2 linked regions of the Drosophila melanogaster genome follow. The protein of the gene in region 1 purifies or fractionates together with the protein of each later gene. This does not show direct contact. Each region holds a gene or a part of one and is shown on either strand. Other genes may lie near its edges.

What was found.
Region 2: the proteins of dpr8 (region 1) and cDIP purify together in Drosophila melanogaster (affinity purification with western blotting; 2 studies listed by BioGRID). This does not show direct contact.

What each region holds. Positions count from the first base shown.
Region 1 is NC_004354.4:14,320,460-14,325,540, forward strand, and holds the start of dpr8 (defective proboscis extension response 8), read left to right. Parts: upstream 1-1,766; 5' UTR 1,767-2,456; intron 2,457-4,278; 5' UTR 4,279-4,399; intron 4,400-5,081.
Region 2 is NT_033777.3:21,158,569-21,162,874, reverse strand, and holds cDIP (common Dpr-interacting protein), read left to right. Parts: upstream 1-1,782; 5' UTR 1,783-1,820; coding exon 1,821-3,485; 3' UTR 3,486-3,637; downstream 3,638-4,306.

The sequences.
Region 1 (5,081 bases):
TAATAATTTTGAAAATTGCGCTATTGAATGTTTCTGTAATACATGCATAGAATACGTAATCAATAATTTCGAAACAAATTTAATGTTAATTAGGTTGTTTAGCCATTCAGTCATTATAATTTTATTTTAATGAGCTAATAATCGAATCAGAAACGACTGGACTTTTAGCTGCAGTTCAGAAATTCGTGAATATTGTATGCATGTACATATATTGTGAAAATGCAGCTGATATGTAATAATCATTGCTCATTCGCTTTTTCCCTCGGCGGAAGGAAGTTAATGGTGGCACAATTGGATCCGCAGGCGGGGTGACACACTGGCCGAGTTCAAATGACTCGAGTATCTCGAGATGGCGAAGTTGAAGCTGAAGTTGAGGGTGTGAGTGCAGGAAGCAGGATCTGCGGCTGCCATCTTAATTTGCATGCACTCGCTGGCGGTGCGTGTGTATGTAATTTATTTGTCGCGCGAGCGGAATTCCCTTGAACTTGTCCGCTGGCATCAGCATCACCATCACCATCAAAACCAGCAGTAAGGAGCGGCAGTAGGAGCGGCAGGCGGACTTGCAGCGTGCAACATGCAACATGAGCAGCAGTTAGCAGTCAGCAGTCCGTCTCGTGTGTCCTGCGTCCTGTGTCTGTGCCACATCGTGCGTCTGCCGACAACACGCAGGACTCTTCGTGCCGCCCGCTGCAATTGCAACGCTGCCTGCCCTATCGGCCACGACTGTCGCTCGGAGGCGCCACACGAGCTGAGGTAGCCCAATAGAGTCCACACCGGACACCGCCAGCGATGCCCCGCCCCTTCGATAACAAGTGGGCGAACCTATCAATTTGTAAATCTAAAATTATATAAAAGAAATAGGAAAAATTGTTTTCATTTATTAAATACTTACCCATAATAGATTATTTATCTTTATATTTAAGTAAATATTCAATAAATGAGTACCACATCCATATGTATGTACAAACATACAAAGCACACCGAAACCGTATGTATGTATTGTAGAATAAGAAATGAGATGCAATTGAAAGAAGAGAGAGATCAAAGTAAAAAATGTGTCTCAAATCGCTTTCGTTGACAGCAAGAATCAGTGGGCAAATCGAAGGAAACATGCAAAACTAACTGTTTGTGAATGAATTACTTTGGATAACGGAAGATAATACGCGAATGATGAATAAGAATTAGTGTAGCTGTGTTCATTGTATCCAAATAATATTCAAACAGAGCGGTGCATATATATTTCATACATACATACATATGTAAGTATTTACATATACATATATGCATATGTATTTTTCATTGATAAAGTGGGTGTGCTTGTTTTCAAAGAACCCCCCTTCAATTTTTTTTTTTTTTTTGTTAATTTCGAGTGCAAAACCACATTACACGTGTTTATTTATTTTGGGGTGGTTTAACCCCTGGCGACCCCTGGCCCGGCATTTATCGAACCTTTGCTCATCTCCCATGCGAATGCAGTCCACACTCGCGTTCCACAAGTGCCACTATGGCGCCTGCGCATCGCCCAAAAGCGCCGCACGAAGTGGATTTCAGTTAAGCGGAGCGGGAATCGGAAGTGGAGCAGCGGACACACGGCCTCACCCACACGCATCCTTCGTGTGCGCTTTGCCAAAGGTGGGCGCGCGCGCGTGTGTGTGTGTGTGTGTGGAACTCGTGGGCCGAGACACTGACGACGCGACACGAGGCGACACGAAGCTTTGGCCGAGTTTCGAGCCGCGAGTGCTCGGCGGTTCAGTTTCGTTTAGGTTATCGAACACAACGGTTTGTGCCGCGCGATTAAAGGCGGATATATTCACTGCATTTGACTCGACTCTCGATTCGATTCGTTTCGTCTCGTTTCGGATCGTCTTGCCACACAACTCGAACTCGAATGCGAAAGCGAATCCTCGACAACTGAATTCCATCCGACATCGAAACTGTTTATCTCGGGAAATTCAAACGCTGCAGGAAAGGCGGTGAAACGGTCGCGATCGCGATCATCAAATTGCAATTGTGGCTGGCCCGTCCTAAACCGCCTAACGTCCCACGTCCCACGCCCCCGCCCGCCCCACACGGAACGTTGTCCCCTCACCGCGCCGCCCAATACATTAACCCCCGTTAACCCCCGGGAAATTCAAAACGCGTCGCGTCGCGTCGGGAAACGCGTGCCGCCGCCAATTGCATCTGTTGTTTGTTGTTTTTTTCGGTTGAGTGTGTGAGAGTGTGCCATCTATATTGCATTGTTGTTGTTTCTCTTTTTGGGGTTTTCCTCAATTGACAAGAAAAACACGAAAACAAAGAAGGCGAGAGACGTACAAGTGAAACGTAAACAATGAAAAGTGAGACGACGGCTGGCGAAAAAGTGAAATCCAGTTGATTGCAGTTTGCAGTTGGCAGCAGCTGCAGAGCGAAAGCGAAAAGCTTAGCATACTTTTGGGCCTGCCCCAATAACTCAAGCCGTAAGTGTCCTGTGTGTGTGTGCACTGCTGATGTGTGTGTGTGTGTGCGTGTGCGGGTGGTGTGCGTTGGTATTGTCGTGTTTGTGTGTGCGGATGAGCCTTTTAAAGTCCCGAGGCTGTTGCTGCCCAATTGAAACGGAAATTCACTCAAAAAAGCGCCAAAAATGTGGCAAAAAGAAATTTACTACAATTACAACTAAAAACTTACTAAAAATCCTAACTTAACTAATTTCGTAATTTTTAAAGTCCGCTGGCTGAAGAAGCGGAAGCAGAGTATTAGAAGAATATTACTGTTAACTATACAACTTTCATGTGTTGAAAAGCCGCTGGCAAAACAGAACATCGTAGTCTTATAAAGAAATTTTTATTTAAGTGTTTTAACATATAAAATCTCTTCACCTTTAATTTTAATTTCTGGAGAATGTGCCTTATTTGTACGTAATTCTTGGACCATAAATATGCCTATATATTGGGCTACAAAGTTCGAAAACTTCTCAAGTCCTCAGAAGTGCAAGAAAAATGAAAAATTTAAAGAAAACGCCAGAAGTGGCAAAAAGTTTGATCTGCGATCTCCAACTTGTACTAATAAATATGCTTCCATATATTACATATATTTTTTTTTTTGGGCTGCCAATGTGGCAAACTTGTATCAAGAAATTTTCAGATCCTGAAAAGAAAAGGACGAAAAAAAGTCCACACCTGCGAGCAGAAAATTTCATGTTGCCGTCGCCAGCGAAGAAGGCAAAAATGTTTAAGGCGAATTGCGAACTTTTACTCAATTTATTCGAACTTTTCACGCCTGCCTACGGATTTGCTTTCATTTTTTTATGCCTACACATATTATATATATATATATATATATATTTTTTTTTGCTGCTTTTCTTCATTTTGGGTAGCAAAAATCGAATCAGCGAGGCAGGAGCAACAGCAGCGGGCCAAAATAAAAATATATATGTTTATAGATGTGTACAAAGAAAAATGCGATAATTTAATCTGGTTAAAGCTGCGAAGGCTATGGCCAAAGCTACATAGCTCGATTTTCCCAGGAGTAAAGCTGTTATGCAGCAGACTTTTGGTCGCGTCTAAGCAAATTAAAAACTTTTGCTCCCTACATTTCCCTTTGCTTTTTTTTTTTTTTTTGTGTCACGTCTTTTTGGGCCCGGTTTTTTTTCATTTTTTTTTTTAATTTATTTTGTATTCCAAGTCATGTATATTGTATATGCATAAATTGTGTTTATGCAAAAAGAAAAAAAATCCAGTCGGCAATAAAGTACGCGTTCAATTTTGCGCAATAAAACGGCAAATGCGAAACAAATGTGACGCAGCTGACGGATCCGAAAAAGATCTTTTTGGCTATTCGAAGGTTGCAAGATGTCAATTGAAGTGGGCTTTTCGCATGAAGTGCAAATGGCTTGGTGGGGCTCAATACAATCCATGTGAGTTGGGATGATATATATACATACGTATATACGTATGCGTGTATTTACTGACTGGGTCATAAAAAAGGTGGCATAAAGCAGCGCCTAGATGGAAATCGAGAGAGACAGGCGAGGCTTATAAATATGCGCGACTTTATGGCCTTTGGGAAGTGTTATGTGCGAATTTCCTTTCGCATTCGCATTCACATTTTCCTTTTTCCTGGTTTCTGGCCAAGCAGCGGCAGCAACACCTGCCCACTTTTCACTCGCAGGAAAAGCTGGAAAATCGGCAAAAGAAGCAGCTGGCATTGCTGATTAAAGTGCCAGTCGCACACGCACACACACTTAGAGTAAATATATATATATATATATATTGTACATATATATATTTATACATAAAGCAGGCACCACGCACCCAGCAAAAGTCAAAACTCAAACTCAAACTCAAAAGTTTTCTGTGTCGCGCGTAGTGAGCGGGCACGCCCACGTGCTCTCGAAAAGAAGGCGGCAGGCGCTAAGTAGCAGGTAAGTGCGGCAATAAAAATAAATGGCAATCGCGAGCCGCGCATCAACTTTTTCGCACATTTTATTGGATACGCCACGAAAATGTGCACATAGCGAAAACTAGATTGATTTCAGCAAGATTTCTATCTATATAACTTATGTCTAACTTATGTTGCTAAAACAAAAGTTAAGCTTATATAAAACATTACTTGAAAATGAATATTAGCGATGCTTAAGTTGGGCAAAAATCAGTTAAAAAGAAGTGGCAATTATTATGGCTTGTATATGCTTGCTAAATTGTATTGAAATATATATATATATTTTTTTTTACTGTGTGGGCATAAACAGGAAATCCTCAGTGCCATAGAGAGCTATAGAATGCGGAGTGTGCTAGAACTCCTAGAAAGGGAATAGTAAACAGAATTTTTAATAGAGGGTTTCGAAATTGCACATGTTAACTCTTAAAGTTCGAACTTCAATCGAGAAGCGCATGTAATTGCAAAGGAATTATGGTTATTGAGATTTAGGGAATTGATTTTGAATTATCGTTTAAATTACTAAATGAAGCAGTGCAATTCGATGATAAAATATTCAATGAACGAAATGGCAATAGAAGGCGCTTTAAAATCCGGAAAAAGGTACAATGAACTTCGCATGAAAGGGAACTCCACTGAAATATTCAGGGAAAGTGCGTTTTTCCTAT
Region 2 (4,306 bases), on another chromosome or scaffold:
AATCAAGTGCCATAAACCGACGGCGCCATATAAAAGCACCCACAATAGAGGCGTAAAATGGTGCGCTATATGTTCTGATTTAATATATTTCTATATCGCATTTGTTTACACTGCTAAACTATTGGGCGAATTTGATTTGAATAAAGTACAGACGGCGGGGACAAAGTCTCGACAGAATAAAAGCCTGGTAATTTTCACTCTTTGTTTTTTTTTTTTTATTTCTCGAAACTTGTATGCAAAGTAATTGCGGCAAATTGAATTCAACAAAGGGGGCACAGGCGAAAAAGTGAAAAAAAGACGCTAAACGAAGTCATGCCGTTTCAATTGAGATACAATACACAGCTACAATAGATACAGATACAGCTATGGCAAATGCCATGCAAAGAACAAAAGTCGTCTTGAGTCGAGTAATTTAAAAGCCATTGGCTCATAATAAGCCCAATGCAAACAGGCAGATCAATTGTGAATACATAAAGTGAAAAAAATTAGCCATCGATATTCAAATTGTTTGTTTGCCCAGGCGGCCAAAGCCGAGAAAATCCCAACGCAAACGAATGGAAAATTAATTTTTAACATTTCAACAAGCGTATAAATTTGTTTGCATACAAATTAATAAGGCTCTACCTGTCATAATCTTTTTGTTTTCGCCCGCTAAGCTGCAACTGGCAAATTGAACGACTGAGAAAGCAGGTTGAACGTGTTCTCAAAACCGCTGGCATGTTGGCTAAATAATTGGCTAAATATTTTACACATTTTTCCACTGGACATGTCACCGCTTCGCAGGCGAAAGTTCTGGTTTCGCTATATTTACGAATGTTTTTCGTGTAAAGGTGCCTACATTCTTGCCTGATTGCTTTAAAAATAAGACTAGGAATAAATGCAGACGACAAAGTAGTTAACGGAAGTTCGTTTGCTCTTATCAAACCGAAACTCAAATGCCCTCCACTGAATTGTTCGCCTGATAAATAATGAGTCATTCGGGCAATCATCAGCAAAACTACACAACGCAAGGCAGTGCCAACAAAATGCTAAATGGCTGTTGTGTAAATTATATAGAAGGTATTTTAAGCAACGTTTCCACGCGCCTATATTTTCGATGGTAAAAGCCAAAGATGGATGGGCCCCAATGAAAATACTCTTACATAAAAATGGGCGAATGTCTGGCCTCATGTCCACTATCAGCAGCCAAAAGAGATTTCCACCTTTTGTTCAGCAAATCGCTAAGTAAACACTTCATGATAAGAGAACACACTGGAAATGAGTGGGAATTGCTCCACAGATATTGTACAAAGTTTTGTTTTTTTTTTCAAAGTCTGTGAGTTTTGAATGGAGCCAACAGAGCGAGAACTTCCATAGAGCAGCAAAAAATCATGAATAATAAACGGAAAAGCAGCACAGACAAGTGTCAAAATAATGATAGGTACAAAAAAAAACAAACCGATTTTCATCTCTCTCGTACAGCAAAAGATGTTAATTTCTTTTAAAAGGAGTTCCCAGACAAATAATTGTAATTAAATCTATTAATTAGTCAGCAGTGATTTCCAAAGCATCTCAATTCTTCGAAATAGAAATAGTATTTCAATCCGATTTCAAAAAAAAGAAAAAAACCCTGCCTTACATTTTCGAAATGCGCTGTACCCGCCACAGATGAACCATATTTATTTTCGCAAAATCAGAACACCATGAATAGAATGGGATGGCAATTATATAGAACTGATGATCGTTATTTGAGCATTATAGAGGAGCTTATCTGGCCAGGCGTTTGGCGGTCAACGTTTGGAATCAGTTTCAGGTCGAACGTGAATCGTGGAGCACGCCAAATGTACGTCCGGAATTGTCTGCCGTTCCTCTGCAGCTATTTGCTGATCTCATTGGCGGCCACAGCTACTACGGATGAGGACGCGGATGCTGATGTGGATAGTGGCTCATCCCGAATAGTGCTGGTCTCCAGCTTGGAAGGTCATTGCCAGACGGAGGGCAAGGTGACCAGCTGCAGGGGCTTTGAGTTTGCGGGAGAGGACGAGAAGGCCACCTTTGATCTGCCAACGGAGGTGCGGATTGCCGAGGATGGCACCACCTACGAAGTGGGCGATGAGGAGCACTCGCGAACCCTGATCTTCGAGAACTGCACCTTCACCAATTTTCCCCTGCGCTTATTTTACACACTAGAGGTCAGTGAGCTGGACATGCGCGGCTGTGGCATCCGCTTCATTTACTGGGAGAACTTCTCCATTGGTGCGGATAAGCTGGTGATTCTTCTGCTCAGCGATAATCACATCGAAGTGCTGCCCACGAAAACCTTCAGGGGAGCAGGAAACTTGGAGTTTATCTTCCTGAATCGCAACAAACTAGGCAAACTGCAGGCGGGTGCGTTTGATAATCTCCTGAAATTACAGTACCTGGATCTCACAGAGAATCGCCTGGAGGCTTTAGCCGCGGACGTATTTGCCGGACTGAAGAGTCTGCGGCACGTGGGACTGGCCGGTAATCAACTGACCACCATTGAGAGCGATTTATTTGCCCACAATCCGGACCTTTTGTCGGTCGCAATGCAGAACAATCGACTGCGAGAGGTGGGCGAGTATGCCTTTCGATCCCGCGGACGACACCATCAGATGCAGTATGTGGATCTATCGAATAACCCCGAGCTGGTCGTTCTACTGCTGAACATTAACGCCACCAATTTGACCGCTCGCAATTGCTCGCTGGACCGTGTCAATTTGTACGGATCGGTGACGAATGTCGATCTGAGCGACAATCGCGTGCGCGAGCTGTACTTTCCCGCCTCCGAGGCACTGGAGCATTTGGTGCTGCGCAACAACTCGCTGGTTCAGCTGGCGTCGTTGAGCCGCGTGCCCAGACTCCGGCACCTGGATGTGGCGGACAATCCGAACCTGGGTCAGTTGCCCGACGGTTGGCGGACGCCACATCTGGAGATGCTGGTGCTGCGGAATACGGGCCAGATGGAACTGCCGCTGGAGGCGTTGCAGGGTATGCAAAATTTGCAGAAACTTGACATATCCGGCAATAATTTGACGGAAATCGATCCATCCGCGTTCCCCACGCTCACGCAACTAACGCACTTCTATATTCATGGAAATAACTGGAACTGCTTCAGCCTGAGAAACATAATGGATGTGCTCATTCGTGCCAATGGCATTGCCTATACCGTGGATAACTACGATCCCGATTTTCCGGGGGAATACTTTCACGGAATAGCCTGCATGTATCGCTTGCCCGAAAAAGAGGGTGTGGACTCCTCCTCCTCTTCGGAAATCTCCGCCAGCGTAGAGTCCTCGCCCATAACAAGTAGTTCTGATCCCAGCGAGGTGGACAAACTGCGCGATGAACTGAAAGCAGTGGTGCAGCACTTTGATTCCAAGTTCGATTTGATATTCAGTAAACTGGCCCAATTGAATGAACAAATTCAGGCCTTTGAAGTGCTCAACAAAACTGTTTGGAGTCAAGTGACCTTGTCCGTTTGAAGTTGTTAAATATGGCCCATTTTTTATGTGATCACTACATTTTCAAAGCTTTACAATTATATGTATACATTATAATTAATATTTGAAGTATTTCCTAAAGCTTCTTAATTTTAAACATAAAATCTTTCGATCCAATAAATAAATCATTTTTTAAATTGTTGGAAGAATTCCACTAAAGAATTCGCGTGTATGTTTTTTTTACCAGTTCTTGATAATATACAAAGTTGGAACCATAATCTAACAAAACAGGAAGGCTTTTCGTCTTTGTTTAAGATTTAGTTTCCTAGAATATCATTTTTTTCTACGCCTATTCAATTCCTAATCTCGAAAACAATTTCTGCTCCATTTCCCTGCTGATTTTGCATACTCAACCCCAAAAAACCAATACAATTTGCAACATGAGCACATCTAGTAAATATTTATTGCTCGCTGTGTCGTATACGTAGAATAATATTTAAACAATAATATTGATTTTCGAGCAAAGCAAAGTTGGGTTCTTTTTCTGAAAGATATTGAAAGAGGTTCGTTCAACTCGGGCTGGCGAACCAAAATGGAAAAACGAGAAGAAAACTGGAGGGCGAAGACAAGATGGTGGGGCTCGGGGAACTTGAGTTGAATTGAACAAAGTCAAGTCAATTACAAAACCAATATTTTCGGAAACTAAACAACAATATTGAATTCGATCGAATGGACCAGAAACCGAGTTATTTTATTGCCATCTGCTAATGCGAACAGTTTTAATTATTTATGCTTTATCCCTTCTATTCGCTTACTCGCACATTTATGGCTAACTAATTGCTAAGATAAACAAACAGTTTCGA